Saccharomyces cerevisiae S288C: one gene and its partners. The protein of the gene in region 3 binds, or shares a complex with, the protein of the main gene of each other region. Each region holds a gene or a part of one and is shown on either strand. Other genes may lie near its edges. A codon is read from its position in the direction of its gene.

The links. The genes of interacting proteins can lie anywhere in the genome.
Region 1: the proteins of RSC8 (region 3) and SFH1 are in contact, whole or in part, in a cryo-EM structure (PDB 6V8O), measured with the Saccharomyces cerevisiae proteins. Residues at the interface, in NP_116695.3 of Saccharomyces cerevisiae: Arg71 (codon at 1,964), Phe72 (codon at 1,961), Leu73 (codon at 1,958), Ala74 (codon at 1,955), Lys75 (codon at 1,952), Thr77 (codon at 1,946), His78 (codon at 1,943), Pro79 (codon at 1,940), Ile81 (codon at 1,934), Arg100 (codon at 1,877), Ser101 (codon at 1,874), Ser109 (codon at 1,850), Ser110 (codon at 1,847), Arg111 (codon at 1,844), Phe112 (codon at 1,841), Lys113 (codon at 1,838), Phe124 (codon at 1,805), Tyr129 (codon at 1,790), Pro133 (codon at 1,778), Tyr134 (codon at 1,775), Glu135 (codon at 1,772), Tyr136 (codon at 1,769), Thr138 (codon at 1,763), Ile139 (codon at 1,760), Thr140 (codon at 1,757), Ala141 (codon at 1,754), Arg143 (codon at 1,748), Arg144 (codon at 1,745), Asn145 (codon at 1,742), Val146 (codon at 1,739); in NP_013425.1 of Saccharomyces cerevisiae: Ser2 (codon at 2,018), Gln4 (codon at 2,024), Asn5 (codon at 2,027), Gln6 (codon at 2,030), Leu7 (codon at 2,033), Ile8 (codon at 2,036), Pro9 (codon at 2,039), Gln10 (codon at 2,042), Ala11 (codon at 2,045), Tyr12 (codon at 2,048), Ile13 (codon at 2,051), Ser14 (codon at 2,054), Asn15 (codon at 2,057), Phe16 (codon at 2,060), Arg19 (codon at 2,069), Pro28 (codon at 2,096), Ile29 (codon at 2,099), Asp154 (codon at 2,474), Leu155 (codon at 2,477), Gln156 (codon at 2,480), Asp157 (codon at 2,483), Gln158 (codon at 2,486), His159 (codon at 2,489), His160 (codon at 2,492), Asn161 (codon at 2,495), Pro162 (codon at 2,498), Ile165 (codon at 2,507), Ile171 (codon at 2,525), Thr174 (codon at 2,534), Phe175 (codon at 2,537).
Region 2: the proteins of RSC8 (region 3) and STH1 are in contact, whole or in part, in a cryo-EM structure (PDB 6V8O), measured with the Saccharomyces cerevisiae proteins. Residues at the interface, in NP_116695.3 of Saccharomyces cerevisiae: Phe224 (codon at 1,505), Val226 (codon at 1,499), Asn227 (codon at 1,496), Leu228 (codon at 1,493), Thr229 (codon at 1,490), Ile230 (codon at 1,487), Lys231 (codon at 1,484), Lys232 (codon at 1,481), Asn233 (codon at 1,478), Val234 (codon at 1,475), Tyr235 (codon at 1,472), Gln239 (codon at 1,460), Ala243 (codon at 1,448), Leu244 (codon at 1,445), Arg249 (codon at 1,430), Asn250 (codon at 1,427), Ser251 (codon at 1,424), Asn281 (codon at 1,334), Leu282 (codon at 1,331), Cys283 (codon at 1,328), Arg285 (codon at 1,322), Cys286 (codon at 1,319), Phe287 (codon at 1,316), Gln288 (codon at 1,313), His291 (codon at 1,304), Asn295 (codon at 1,292), Phe296 (codon at 1,289), Lys313 (codon at 1,238), Leu321 (codon at 1,214), Leu324 (codon at 1,205); in NP_012140.1 of Saccharomyces cerevisiae: Ala53 (codon at 4,521), Glu56 (codon at 4,512), Gln57 (codon at 4,509), Leu59 (codon at 4,503), Tyr60 (codon at 4,500), Tyr62 (codon at 4,494), Arg63 (codon at 4,491), Ala64 (codon at 4,488), Gln66 (codon at 4,482), Asn67 (codon at 4,479), Glu80 (codon at 4,440), Arg101 (codon at 4,377), Asn116 (codon at 4,332), Lys117 (codon at 4,329), Leu119 (codon at 4,323), Val120 (codon at 4,320), Gln123 (codon at 4,311), Leu124 (codon at 4,308), Leu125 (codon at 4,305), Glu126 (codon at 4,302), Lys127 (codon at 4,299), Asp128 (codon at 4,296), Thr129 (codon at 4,293), Pro132 (codon at 4,284), Tyr134 (codon at 4,278), Phe135 (codon at 4,275), Leu138 (codon at 4,266), Arg202 (codon at 4,074), Leu206 (codon at 4,062), Leu209 (codon at 4,053).

Annotation. Positions count from the first base shown.
Region 1 is NC_001144.5:775,987-779,878, reverse strand, and holds SFH1 (Sfh1p), read left to right. Parts: upstream 1-2,014; coding exon 2,015-3,295; downstream 3,296-3,892. Other genes in the region: PEX30 (peroxisome biogenesis protein), read right to left, coding at 1-664; U2-type spliceosomal complex subunit CWC24, read left to right, coding at 927-1,706; MMS22 (Mms22p), read right to left, coding at 3,575-3,892. UniProt on the Saccharomyces cerevisiae protein: Component of the chromatin structure-remodeling complex (RSC), which is involved in transcription regulation and nucleosome positioning. RSC is responsible for the transfer of a histone octamer from a nucleosome core particle to naked DNA.
Region 2 is NC_001141.2:116,202-122,668, reverse strand, and holds STH1 (RSC chromatin remodeling complex ATPase subunit STH1), read right to left. Parts: upstream 4,678-6,467; coding exon 598-4,677; downstream 1-597. Other genes in the region: RRT14 (Rrt14p), read left to right, coding at 5,025-5,645; MET18 (Met18p), read right to left, coding at 5,765-6,467. UniProt on the Saccharomyces cerevisiae protein: Catalytic component of the chromatin structure-remodeling complex (RSC), which is involved in transcription regulation and nucleosome positioning. RSC is responsible for the transfer of a histone octamer from a nucleosome core particle to naked DNA.
Region 3 is NC_001138.5:227,013-231,081, forward strand, and holds RSC8 (Rsc8p), read right to left. Parts: upstream 2,175-4,069; coding exon 501-2,174; downstream 1-500. Other genes in the region: anaphase promoting complex subunit CDC26, read left to right, coding at 1-325; IRC5 (putative ATPase), read left to right, coding at 2,368-4,069.

The DNA.
Region 1 (3,892 bases), on a different chromosome or scaffold from region 3:
GTGAGTGATACGTTAAAAGGAACATGCCCACCATCAGCATCAAGCTTCTCGGTGGTAAAAGTAGCCAGGTTATCATCACGTATATTGGAGATAATATGACCGTAGTATATAGAAGCCGTTGAATATCTTGCGTTCCAAGGTTAACCATGGGGGAGAGCAAAATATCTGACTTCAAGGATACTCTGTTCATTAAGAGAGCAATATCTTCTAATGTTGGTGAGGAGCTCAACGTACCCTCAATATAATTGTCCAATAGGGAATAACCCCACAAAATAGCAATGATGGCAAGATGTCCAAAGTACTTCACCAGCGTTTCAAAATACTCAACGGTAGTAATAAAGAGACACAGCATCAAAACACTGCTCCAAATATTCTTTCCTGTCCATGTAACAACGTTTAGGAATTCGTCAATGAGAATTAAATAAGGGTACAATTTCACCAACGCCTTTGAGATTGTGGGCGGTGTTGATGTCAAAAGCGGCGAAGTAGCTACGTTAACTTTCTCCAATGACCCGTTATCATTATCCTCAGACACCCCGCTTTCAGCTTCGTTCTTTTCCAAAGCAGCTCGTATCACTTTTGTAGTATTGCCACCAATCCTCGGTTGCAGCGTCTCTGCAAACTTGGCTCTAGTCTCATGCACGTTAGTTGTGTTACCACTCATTGAAAATCAGTTTTTACACTCCGGAGGATCAACTAGACAGCTCGAATCCTAAATTGCAACCTTGCATGCCCACTTTACCTCAGTAGCGAACGTATCCAAGTATATATTTTGTGAAGCTGATCCAAAAACCCTTTAGTCCTCTTCCCGCTTCTTTCCGTGCAACCGGAGAATAATAAGAAAAAGCCATGCGCATCTCTATCTGAAGTGGACTCAAGCTAAAGCCATCGAAAGCTCCATCACTTAATCAAAGCTCCAGGTATTCATGTTCAGAAAGAGATTAGTGAACAAAAGCTCTTCTGATGAAAAGAACCAGAAAAAGAGGCAGAAAATTAATTTTAGCGAAGAGAAACTAGTGGCCAGCGATGAAGAAAAGGGTTCCAGTGACCTCATGAGCTTAGCCAAGAGTGGAAATAGCAGGACACTTCAACTTTCACATGAGAATGAAGGTAAACTACAGAAAAAGGGTGAGGATTTAGATAAATACACTTTAACGGTCAACGACGACAGCACTAAAGAAGATCTTCTAAACTTTGAGAGAAAAGAGCTGGCTGAGAAGGCAAAGAAGAGGCGACCTAGTGATGACAATGAGCTGGTACTGAACATGAGCGGTAAAAATAAACGCCTCACTAAACAGATTAACCAACCAACGAATATCCGGACCACGGTGCTGATGGATTTTCAGCCCGACGTTTGCAAAGATTACAAACAGACGGGATACTGTGGTTACGGAGATAGCTGCAAGTTCTTACACTCGAGGGATGATTTCAAGACTGGCTGGAAGCTGAACCAAGAATGGAATGCGGATAAAGAGGACTCCAAAGCGGTTACTCTAGACTTGGAAAAGATACCGTTCAAGTGCACTCTTTGTAAGGAAGATTACAAGTCTCCAGTGGTCACAAACTGTGGCCATTATTTTTGTGGATCGTGTTTTGCCAAAGATATGAAAAAGGGCACCAAATGCTTTATATGCCACAAGGAGACCCACGGCAGTGCAAAAGTAGCATCTGACTTACAGAAGATGCTAAATAAAAGGAAAAGTTGATGGAGAATGCCATATCACCCCAAAAATTACACGCACCCGATGCTAATGTACAGGAATTATAGAGCACATGACCCATAGATTTATCGAGCATTGTTGCAATTTCGAAAGACTCTTTCACATAATAAAGTATGTAAACTATATAGATAGAAGATGTCCCGTGTCTTTTTGTCTACTAAATGATGATCTGCTCATTTAAAGTCGCCGCGACTACTTTGACAAAAAAAAAAAACTTAGAAAATACGACAAATAGAGATTATTGAATGAAGTACATTGAAAAAAGAAAGAAGAAAGGCACATAGCAGCACACAATGTCGCACCAAAACCAGCTTATTCCACAAGCTTATATTTCTAACTTTCATAACAGATTGACAAACGAAGATGATGGTATCCCCATCTTTACAATGGCTCAACAAACAAGGCAGCATAAAAGGGCTAAAGTGGTCAACTATGCGGAATATGACAACGATCTCTTTGATGAATTCAATATGAACGGTTCTAATTTCAACAATGCTGATACACACTATAAAGATAATGCAGTGTCTCATGAAAATACTCCGGCACTTACAAATGGTGTTACCATGGACGGTTCCGAATACAATGTCCTAGAGAACATGAATGGAGCTGATAGTATTATCTCTAACAACAAATACGATGCGGGTTCAAACATGGTTGTGGAATCTTTATCCGGTTTGAATAGCAATAACAACGCCAGCAATGGTCCGAGCAACAAAGCGCAGGCACAGGATATTGGAAACGCCGTTCTACCGGATCTGCAAGACCAACACCACAACCCCTTCAACATATTGAGATACCCTAAAATAAGAGATACTTTCATTAACGGAAAAGTGGTGTCTCCATATAGACTCAACACTGATCAAGAAACGAAGGCAAACGCCAATTCTGGAGAGGCAATCATGATACCAATTACTTTGGATATAGAACATATGGGTCATACCATAAAAGACCAGTTTCTCTGGAACTACAATGACGACTCCATATCTCCGGAGGAATTTGCCTCTATATACTGTAAAGATCTTGATATGACTTCCGCTACCTTACAAACTCAAATTGCGAATATAATAAAAGAGCAGTTGAAAGACCTCGAAAATATTGCAGCCACTGAGATAATGTCTGACCTCCACGTGATAATCAACCTAACCTGCAACTTACAAGACAGATTTTTTGAAGATAACTTCCAGTGGAACTTGAACGACAAATCACTTACTCCAGAAAGATTTGCTACATCCATTGTACAGGACCTTGGCTTAACAAGAGAGTTCATCCCCTTAATATCTCAATCGCTTCATGAAACTATCTTGAAGATAAAGAAGGACTGGGTAGATGGCCACTTGATTCAGGACCATGTCCCAAACGATGCCGCATTTGGGTACTTATCTGGTATAAGGCTGGATATTGATGAACTGGGCTCCAATTGGTGCCCAAGGGTGGAAATATTAACAAAAGAAGAAATACAAAAGAGAGAAATTGAAAAAGAAAGAAACTTAAGAAGATTGAAAAGAGAAACTGATAGATTATCTAGAAGGGGCAGGAGAAGATTAGATGACTTAGAAACCACAATGAGAATGTAGTAACTTTGCTTTTCTTGTTACAGAATTGTATTATTATAAGTATTATTAATCAAACGGGAAGGACAAAAAATTTAACAAACGCAGAAGCAACTAAATCAAGACTAAAGAGAACGTAAAAAAAGTCATGCACTTCTTTGAGATACACGTTACCAAAAGAATACAAAATGTTTATCACCAACACTGATAGATCTTGTTTCTATTTGGACTAATTCGCAATTTGACATATATGACATATATTACGGAGAATTTTTAAATATGCTTATATTACATGTGTATAATTTACGTATTCTTGAAGGTTTTGAAAGGTTCAGACGCCTCAATTTTTCCTATATTACTTTCTATTATCTTTATTACAATCGCAGATAGCGAACTTTGCAAAGTAGTATGAGGAATCTGATTAGGTATGTTCATATTACTATCAAGCATCCTTAGCTGCAAAAGTTTGTCATGCTCCCAAAACCCATCTGCGATTCTCAACACAGATACCAAAAACGCATCTTTTGCGGCGATCAAATCACTATTACTATTAAAGGTGTCGTCTGTTGCGCACTCAATACATAACGCCCTGTATACTTTGCAAAGTTCAGCAAATTCATC
Region 2 (6,467 bases), on a different chromosome or scaffold from region 3:
TCTAAAAACTGCTTTCTTTCTCTTTTGTTGTTTCTTTCAAACGAAACTTTAATTTGGGGAAATTAGGAAGAAGTATGATGCTGAACGAGAATCGCTTCCTTCTCTCTTCCTATCTATATTCAGCTGCTGCGACTATGTGACAGAAACAAAATTGAGGGCGAAAAACAAACAAGATATGATCTTATTAAATAACACACGGGTTTGTTAAAGTATAAATAGTACACACCCAATGAATCTAAACCGTTATCGTAAATCGGACTTACATGTAGGTCTTGACTCCCGCAGTCCCTTTGCCAATCATTTATGTGTAATGCCTCTTTCTTATTTGCAGAGGCCCCTTCCTTAGCCCCGGAATCGCAAACGGTCGAAGCTAACTGGTCCATCGCCGCCGGGTAATTATTTTGCGGCACTAATAAGCCCAGAGAATAAGCCAAAGGATATTAGTTACTCAAAGAATTATATTCGCTCTGTCGATCTTATTGTTACAGTGGTATATATTTTATAAACATATGTAGAGGTAGAAAAAAAGGCTAGAAAGAGTATTAGAGGGGAAAGGGATATAGTCGTAAAAAAAAAAAACATGTGGTGATGAAAACGTTACGAAGAGTGTTCCTTGAACCATTCATCAGTAAACTCATTTAACTTGTCAGCATCAACGTAAACCCAGGATCCCTCTTCATTATAGAATCTAGCATTTTCAAACATCGTTTGTAAGGCTTGCCTTACCTCCTCCAAAGTTTTGTAAGTGCCATTCTTGCAGTTTTTCAATATAATATCAATGGCCATGGGTTTTTCAATTACTTTAAAATAGTCCGGATAGTCGCGTTTCGAAGGAAGCTTTTCAAAAATGGACGTCCTTGGATGGGAGTCTACCTCATCTAACTGTTCGCGCATTTCTTCCACCAATTTTTCCACCGTGGGAAAAATCCCAAGCGACTTGGATTTAGTTTTAGTTTTTTTGGCTGCAGTCTTCTTCGCGGGCGATTTACTCTCTGGCTTTTCTTCTGCTCGCTTACCATCATTATTCTCCAACACAGTTGTTTTGTTTAGTTTGATCTTGACGGTCAGTTTCGGTTTCTTTTTCTTGGATTCTGAACCATTTATAATTTCAACGGAGCTACTTTTTACTTCCTCTTCCACCTTAGCGCCCCCGTTTTCTTGAGATGTACTCTCTTCTTGAGTATTCTCTTTGTCTTCTGCCGTAACAATGCTAATGGTCCTTTTCTTTCTACTACTCCGGCGTTTTGACCTGGAAGCTGTAGTCTCTTTATCAGCATTAGTTTCCTCATCCACAGCTGCAGTGAAGCTATTGTTCTCAATCAATGAAGTTTCGGATGCTTCAGGCGTGTTTTCCAGGGTTTCTATTTCATTCTCTTTTGTACCATTTTGACGTAATCTCCTTCTTTCACGTGCTTCACGTCTTTTTTTAATGGCATCTTCTAAAGACATATTATCATCTTCTACAGCCTCCAAAAATTGTTCTTCAGTTAGACCGTCATCATAGTAAACTCTTTTCTTTTGTCTAATCCTTCCCAATGGTTCAGAATCCTCTTTCTTGAAATGTTCTTCAATGTCTTCTCTGAATACTTTGGGTAGCTCGTCTAATTGAATCAATCTAGGAGGAGGGACTCTCAGGCCTTGCGCTTTAGCATCTGCTCTTTCTTGGTTCATTCTCTCCTTATCAATTTTATCAAATAGTATTTTTTCATCAGCGCTTCTGGCCAAAGTATCGTTTAACTCATCGTCATCTAATTCTGCTTTGTCATCATCATCCCTGTTCGTTTCACTTTCGATCAATCTTCTCAAAAAAGCTTCTTGCTCTTCTGCAGTTGATTTGTTATCAAACTTACCTGCCTGGATAACCTTGCCGTCAATGTCCAATTTCTGCATAGCTCTTTCCAAAATAACTTCCTCTACGGAATCAGTGGTAATTAATCTTAAAATTCTAACCTCATTCTTTTGTCCAATTCTGTGAGCTCTATCTTGGGCCTGTAAATCTTGGTGTGGATTCCAATCTGTATCAAAGATGATCACCGTATCTGCAGTTTGTAAATTCAAACCCAAACCACCGGCTCTAGTTGACAAAAGGAAACAGAAATAATCTGAATCTGGAGCATTAAATGCATTCAGCATTTCTGTTCTTTCTTCAGTCTTAGTGCTACCATCTAATCTCATATACTTCAAATCTTTCATTCTTAGGAAGTCTTCCATAATATCCATAACTTGAGTCATTTGGAAAAACATTAGCACTCTGTGGCCTGAGGCTTTGAATTTCGGTAGCACTCTATCCAGTAATTCAAACTTGCCCGCTACTCTGAAAAGTAAATCACTATTACCTCTTGAGGGGTTTACAACACCTTCCACTTCATCAAATACGAATGGATGGTTGCAGATTTTTCTTAATTGCATAATCTTATTGTTCAAACCTTTAATACCACCCTTTGTAGCCCCCTCAGTCCCTGCACCAACAAATAGCGCGTTATGCTTTAGCATTTGCTGATATAACTGTTGTTGCAAACCAGACAGTTTACATTTGATAACTTTTTCCACTTTATCAGGCAAATCCTTTTCCACTTCCTTTTTCAAACGACGCAATAAAAATGGCCTTAACACCTTATGTAATCTTCTAATAATTAACAGAGTTTCTTCTTCCGTTAATTCTAGTTTCTCTTGGGTACCGGTGTTGGCAAATGGAGTATTAAACCAATCTTCAAAAGTCTTCGCAGAATTGAAAATTTTAGGCAAAACAAAGTTCAACAGTGCCCATAATTCTGGTAGATTGTTCTGCAAAGGAGTACCCGTTAAAATCAATCTGTTTCTTGTACGATAATAATGAGAAATTGTGAATGATAACTTCGATTGAGCATTTTTCATTCTATGACCTTCGTCAATGATCATATGAGCCCAATCATGTTTTGATAAAAGAGATTTATCTTTAATAATATACTCATATGTTGTCAATAAGACGTCAAAATTTCCAACCCTTATTTGATGCTGTAAAGAGTGTCTTTGATTTGGTGTACCTTTGTATATAATAGTGTTTAAGCTCGGAGCCCATTTTTCAAATTCTAAAGTCCAATTGGTTATTGTGGATAAAGGTACAATGACTAGGAAAGGGCCGATGTCTTTCTTAACTTCATAAAGATATGTTATTAGAGAAATAGATTGGATGGTTTTACCTAAACCCATCTCATCTGCTAGAATACCGTTCAAATGATTATTGTACAACGACACCATCCATTCTAAACCTCGTAATTGATACTCTTTTAAAGTGCCGCCAACAAGAATAGAAGGTTGTTTATCAATTTTTTCTTTGATCCTATGAGCGACTTCATAATAGTCAGTCTTTTCTCTTTCTTCATCTGTAATTGGTTGGACTTCCTCACCATGAAGAATTTTTGCTTCGTTTTGTTGTGCTCTAACAGCCTCCGACAAAGAATCCAAAAAGGAATTAGTCTGCCTCAATAACTGTGTAATTCTAGTATCCTTAGTTTGATCTAAAAGCTTTAAATAAGCCTCCTCATCGTTAGACTTCAAAGCAGCTAAACGTTGCTTAGCAGTTCTTTCTATTCTTTTCTGTTCATCTTTCTCCATTTGATTGTGTAATGAAGCGCCTAATCTACCGAACTGAAAGCAACGTTCTTGACGAGACCATTGCTCGGACTGCCTTTCTTTGATGAAATCAATGATGCTGTTTATTTTTTGTAAATGTAAATTACGTTCCTTTTTTCTTTTTTCCAATAGTTGTTGCCTTTCTAATTCTTCTGCCAAACGAACGGTTTGTGGGACAATAACTTTGCTTCTAATTTGAACAGATCTTTGTGCAGCTGCTGTGAAAGGAGAATCACGTAGATATGGAATATTGTGGTGTGCCTGGCTGGCAACATTGTTGATTAACTTTTGCCTAATCGATTTTTGTTTAGTTAGTAGCTTTAAACTTTTCAATTCCACAAGAGCTTTGATTTTGAAAGTATCCATTCTGGACGATAAATCATCTTTTGTAATAAACTCTAAACAATCATCTAGTGAGTATGTACCCAGATTGGCAGGTAATCTTTCCAGCTCGTTAATTCTGTTGGATATACGTGCAGAAATCCTTATTTCGGTATCTGGATCGCCCAATGCAGTCTTCGTAGCGTTAGAAAATTTTGATTCTAAACCCAAACTTTTGGCCTTCGCATTGAAATCTGCTGATATTTTTATTGGTTTCTTTTCAGAATAGTCTACTTCGATCGCCGTAGTGTTATCGTTCTTGGTGTCTGGTAAGTCTAAGAAGTAGTCAGGGACATCTGTATCTTTCTCCAGTAACTGTAAGGCAACCAAGTGTTTATTCAATAAATCCTCATCGTACTGAAATCCTTTATCTATACTCTTTCTCAAGGTATCCAACTTTGTTTCGTAGATATCCTGATCACGTGATATATTCCTAAAAGTGTCTTCTATTGCCTTGATCTCCAACTTGTTTTCCTTTGGATGGTTTTGAATAGCCCTATAGCGGTAGAGTAGCTGCTCCAACTGTGCACTACTCCTCGGCTTTGGAATAGTGATTTCAGGTTGTTCCTCGGACCCCAGCTTTCCATTTGTTTCAGAGGCTGCAGCAACCGCAGCCAATGCGGCAACTGTTGTAGGTGTATTATTCATCACCGTGCTCATCAACTCAGATTGTTCCTGAAGCATTCGCGCTTGCTCTAAACTGTGCTGCCTCTTTGTGTTGTTATTTCCACCAAATTAGCCGCTGATTGCCTTTGTTTTTCTCTATACTCTTTTTCCTCTTAAGTTTCGTTTTCGTTATTGATAAACTTTTTCTTTTCTCAGTGCCAAATTGGTGTCTTCTTTTTTTGCCACGGGGCGGGTACTAGATAGTCACGTGAATGTATACACGTGACCCTAATGCTCTTTGAAAAATTTTGCGATGAGCTTTAACTAAGGAATATGGAAATATAGCTGGCAACTGTGGAAATATTGTTTTGTGGAAAAGTTGTTTAGAATACGAACAACTTAAGGAGGGAGCTAGCTAGGCCAAAATGTCATCTTCGCTGAGCCAAACATCTAAATACCAGGCCACCTCGGTTGTTAATGGACTGCTATCAAACCTTTTGCCTGGCGTTCCCAAAATCAGAGCTAATAATGGCAAAACAAGTGTAAACAATGGGTCAAAAGCTCAGTTAATCGACAGGAACTTGAAAAAGAGAGTACAGTTACAAAACAGAGACGTTCACAAAATTAAAAAAAAATGCAAACTGGTCAAAAAAAAAAAAGTTAAGAAACATAAATTAGATAAAGAGCAACTTGAACAACTGGCAAAACACCAGGTTTTGAAAAAACATCAACATGAGGGCACATTAACGGACCATGAGAGGAAGTATTTGAATAAGTTAATCAAAAGGAATTCTCAAAATTTGAGGTCGTGGGATTTAGAAGAGGAAGTACGAGATGAGCTTGAAGACATTCAGCAATCCATCTTGAAGGATACAGTTTCCACTGCGAACACAGACAGGAGTAAAAGAAGAAGGTTCAAAAGAAAACAATTCAAGGAAGATATCAAAGAGAGCGATTTTGTTAAAGATCATAGATATCCTGGTCTGACACCGGGTTTGGCACCTGTAGGACTAAGCGACGAGGAAGACTCTAGTGAAGAAGATTAAACGTAATAAAAATAAATGCTATTTTGCTGTACTATACATAAAAGAATCATATTTACTTAGTATACTCGCTAAGATTTTCACGTGCTCATCAATGTGAACAAATTATTAAATACAAGCGTTTACTCGAACGGGATTTGGCCTAATTCATAATAAACCTGTCTTGTGTCAACGCATTGCTTTCTTATTATTCTTTTTTTGTCAGATAAAACTGGTATTAAAGCGCTTAGAACATCGTCCTGATAGCTCAAACAATAGTTTAGAGGTACTACAGTCGTAATCATTTCTAGAAGCTGTAAGGCTATTAACCTGACACTGACACTATTATATTTGTGCGGAAGCGAAAGAGATAGTAATAATGGAACTATTGTGCTTACGTGTTCAGTAATTAAAGTGTGATGTTTATCCGTAGTGTCCTTCAGAGTTTCTAAAGCGGATACCCTTACTTCAGGATCAGGCATATCCAAAGCCTGCAATAAAAGCGGGAATAAATCGTTGATAAAAGGACCAACCGATTGGCTTGGAGTATGCTTCAACACTAAGGATAATGCAGTTAAATAATTGCATTTAATGGTCATGTCCACGGTATTTTTATAGTTGCTGACTAGTGTTTGAAAAATGTCACCGAAGAATTTTTGTTTGTACAAGATTTTAACGTTATTATTCCAACTGATACCTTTAAATTTCTTCAAAGAACTGATATCCATGACAAAAACTTCGAATAGCTTCGATACAAGTGAGCCAATCTCTTCATTAGACAGTAAATCAATAAACTTTTTTGCAATTTCTGATGACTCTAATGAGTTTTGCATTATCAGCCCTTTA
Region 3 (4,069 bases):
CTCTCTGATCGATGACCTGAACGAGCAGAAACTCAAGCAGCAGCTGAATATCGAGAAGACAAAATACTTCCAAGGAAAAAATGGCGGATCGCTGCACTCCAATACAGACTTTCAGGACACATCGCAGAATATCGAAGACAACAATAACGATAACGATAACGATATCGATGAAGATGACGACATGTCATCTTACAACGACAAAGCAGCCTCGGTAGCGCACACCAGAGTCCTCAATTCCTTGCATCTGTCCACCGACAGCAATACCGCCCACGAGACGTCCAATGCAAACGACAACCACAACCCCTTCTACATCCGCGAGGAATAATAGCATATCCGCATACGCACACGCACACGCACACGCGCACGCATCCACATTCACTTTCACTTATAAAATTTCTTCTCTCTAGTTTTATATACGTTGTATTAGAAATATAAAATATGACAATAGTACACTTTGTAGGCTCTCTTTTTTTTTTTTTTTTTTTTTCTTATATATTTTTTTACAATGACCACGGTTTGTACACCTGGGGCTGCAATTTTGCAATGGAGTCGCCTTCGCCTACTTCCTCGCCTTCCTTGCCTACACGTTTCACGCCATGTCCTGTGGCCGTATTGCCGTCTTCGTCATCGCCCTCCTGGTCCTTCTCCACTAGTTGTATGCCCGAGTCTACTTGCTCCGAGATCAGTACCAGTTTCTTCGACACATTCAACTCCTCCAGCGACTTGTTCAGGTCAAGAATCTGTTTACTCAGTGATAATCGGTCGTTCAGCATCTTTTCAGATTCCTTCACATATTTCAGTTTTTCCATCTCCAGTTGCGTTTCTAGATCGCACAGCTTTGTAAACTTGCTCTCTAATTTCTCCATGGTCAGCTTGACTAACTCTTGGATTATCGCTTGGCTTTCTTCAATGTACTTTTCGGAGATCTCTCTCGACTTATCAGAGACCTTACCCAATTTGTCGTCGCCTTGCAGTAGCGTCTGGACAGCATCATTCACGCATTCCATCAACTTCGAACCGGACACACTACCATCGCGGCTGTCGCCACCCTTACCATTCAGCGTTGAACCAACAACTTCTCGGATGTAGTTGTCCTCGATCGGTAAGCTTAGGAATTTTTCAATGCAGTCTTCTACACGCTTGTGCCCACCCACGTGGTCAGCAATCTTCTCCCACTGGTCTTCATACATTTCAATACCCTCCAGCAATAGTAGCATCTCCTGGTCTGACCAGTTTTTTTTAACCGAGTTTCCGTTGTTTTCTAATCTGATGAAATCTGAAGATTGAAAGTTGGCACCGAAATGACCCTCTTGGAAACAACGGGAGCACAGGTTGGTGTCCCGTGCACGCAAATTGTGGTAGCGCACATTGATTGACTCGTTACCGCATGTATGGCAAATGTAAACTTTGTGAATCTGCCTGGAGTTTCTACTTTCGTCTTGTAATGCATTGAAGTCTTGTGCAGAATCGTAAACGTTCTTCTTGATTGTGAGATTAACGGGAAATTCCTTCTTGACTTGTGGTTCCGCTCCATCTCCTCCTTCCACTTCTTGCTTGATCACATTCTCTGGTAAAAATGGCTTTAACCCCTGCGGAGTGTCCAGAACCACTTGGAAGTGGCCCGTAAAACTTGGCCCAATAAGACTGGGCTTGGTCCTGGGGTCAATCTGATAATTGATTAAGCCCCATTTTTCCAAGAACGCGTGAATCTTCACTATCGAGGCAACATCCATGGCAACATTTCTTCTCACAGCGGTAATGGTCAAATATTCGTACGGCGAAAGACGGTACGTGTTGATGATAAAATTTCTTGTGTCCTTATATGCCTTTGGTGTCTTGAACCTTGATGAATCGTTGAAAAAGTCGGGATTGGATCTTTTTTCGATCTCGTGGATCTTCGAAATATCAAACCAAGAGGCAAACGACGGAATAATCACCGGGTGAGTTTGCTTTGCCAGGAACCTAAGGGCCTTCTCCTCCAGTTTCTGTGCTTCTTGCTCGTAATTGATTTTCTTATGAGCTACTTCTGCTCCCAATGTGGCAGATTCCTCCTTCGCCTGTTCCTGTGCTAAGTGAGGGAAAGATGGCGTGTTGGTGCTTGTGGTGGGTGGCTCCTCGGTCGCTTCGTGCGAGTCTACCATAGGGACATCCTTATCCTTTTCAGTGTCGCTCATTATCCTGGCCTTCTATCTACTCTTTGCTTCTCTGCTCTACCCTTCTCTCTATAAACCTCACGAACTAATTCAATGTTGATGAAACTTATTTTTTCCAACTTTTTTACATCAAGCGGGTGACAAAGAGAACGCCGTAATTAAATTATCATAGAAAAGAGTAACGGATTAAGGAAGTATCAAATTTGGCGATGAGATGAGCAGATGCTCAAACGCGGCGCTGATGACTGTTGTTGAGGATGCTGTTGGGGCCAGGGTGGCTGCAAGGACGAGAAACATGAGCAATGGCGTCAATTACCGGGAGAAGGAAGTCAATGACCTAACGGCTGACATTTCAGATTCAGATTCAGATTTGGATTCAGAGGACAATAAACATGGCAAAGGCGACAATGACACTGCCCCCATATGGTTACAAGATGATGTGCATTCAGACGAAGATATTCAGCTGGACTCAGAGGACGATTCCGATACAGAAGCTGTTCAAGCCCAAGTGGTGGATAAATTGGCAAAAGACACGAAATCAGAGCAAAAATCCTTGGATGATGAGCTCTCCGAGATGGATACCAAGACGGTTTCTTTAAAACTTAAGAAACTAAACGAGTTTGTGAGGCAGAGTCAGGTATATTCCAGTATAATCGCCGATACTTTACTACATCGATCTAATGAAGTGGCTAACGCTAATACAAAAGATAACAGCAACTCTGATGATGAAGAACATTCTTCAAAAAAACGTAAAACAAAAAAAAAATCAATAACAGATTTCTTCAAAAAACAGAAAAAGAACGAAGATACAACCACCCAAAACGGCGCACCAGACGATGCAGCAATAAAGCAACCTCGCCTATTGAAAAACTGTATTTTAAAACCTTACCAACTAGAAGGTCTTAACTGGCTGATCACTCTTTATGAAAATGGCCTGAACGGAATTCTTGCCGATGAAATGGGTCTTGGTAAGACTGTTCAAAGTATTGCTCTTTTGGCGTTCATATATGAAATGGACACAAAGGGTCCTTTTCTAGTGACTGCACCATTAAGCACCCTAGATAATTGGATGAACGAATTTGCAAAATTCGCTCCTGATCTACCAGTTCTAAAATATTATGGGACCAATGGTTATAAGGAACGTTCTGCCAAGTTGAAAAATTTCTTTAAACAACACGGCGGCACGGGGATCGTCATCACATCATATGAAATTATTTTAAGAGATACCGACTTAATCATGAGTCAAAATTGGAAATTTTTAATTGTTGATGAAGGCCACCGTCTGAAAAATATAAACTGTAGATTGATTAAAGAGTTAAAAAAAATCAATACTTCCAATAGACTGCTACTAACAGGGACGCCTTTACAAAATAACCTAGCTGAATTATGGTCACTTTTGAATTTCATAATGCCCGATATCTTTGCCGATTTCGAGATATTCAATAAATGGTTTGACTTCGACAGCTTAAATTTAGGCTCCGGTTCCAACTCTGAAGCATTGAATAAGTTAATCAACGATGAACTACAGAAAAATTTGATTTCCAATTTACACACAATTCTGAAACCATTCCTTTTGAGAAGATTGAAAAAAGTTGTTTTGGCTAATATTCTGCCGCCAAAGAGAGAATATATCATAAATTGTCCGATGACGTCTGCACAGGAAAAATTCTATAAGGCTGGATTGAATGGAAAGTTGAAAAAAACCATGTTCAAAGAATTAATCAAGGATTTTTTCACATTGAACGATGAATACATCGGCCACGTTTCTAATCGGTCCATACGAGATTTCATCAATTATAAACTATCTGGTAATGAAACTTCAAATACAGACAATAAAATCAATCCAACCTTGTTGCAAATGGACAAACTATATAAGAAGAACCTGCAAATGGAAATTTCAAATAAGAAATTGCAAA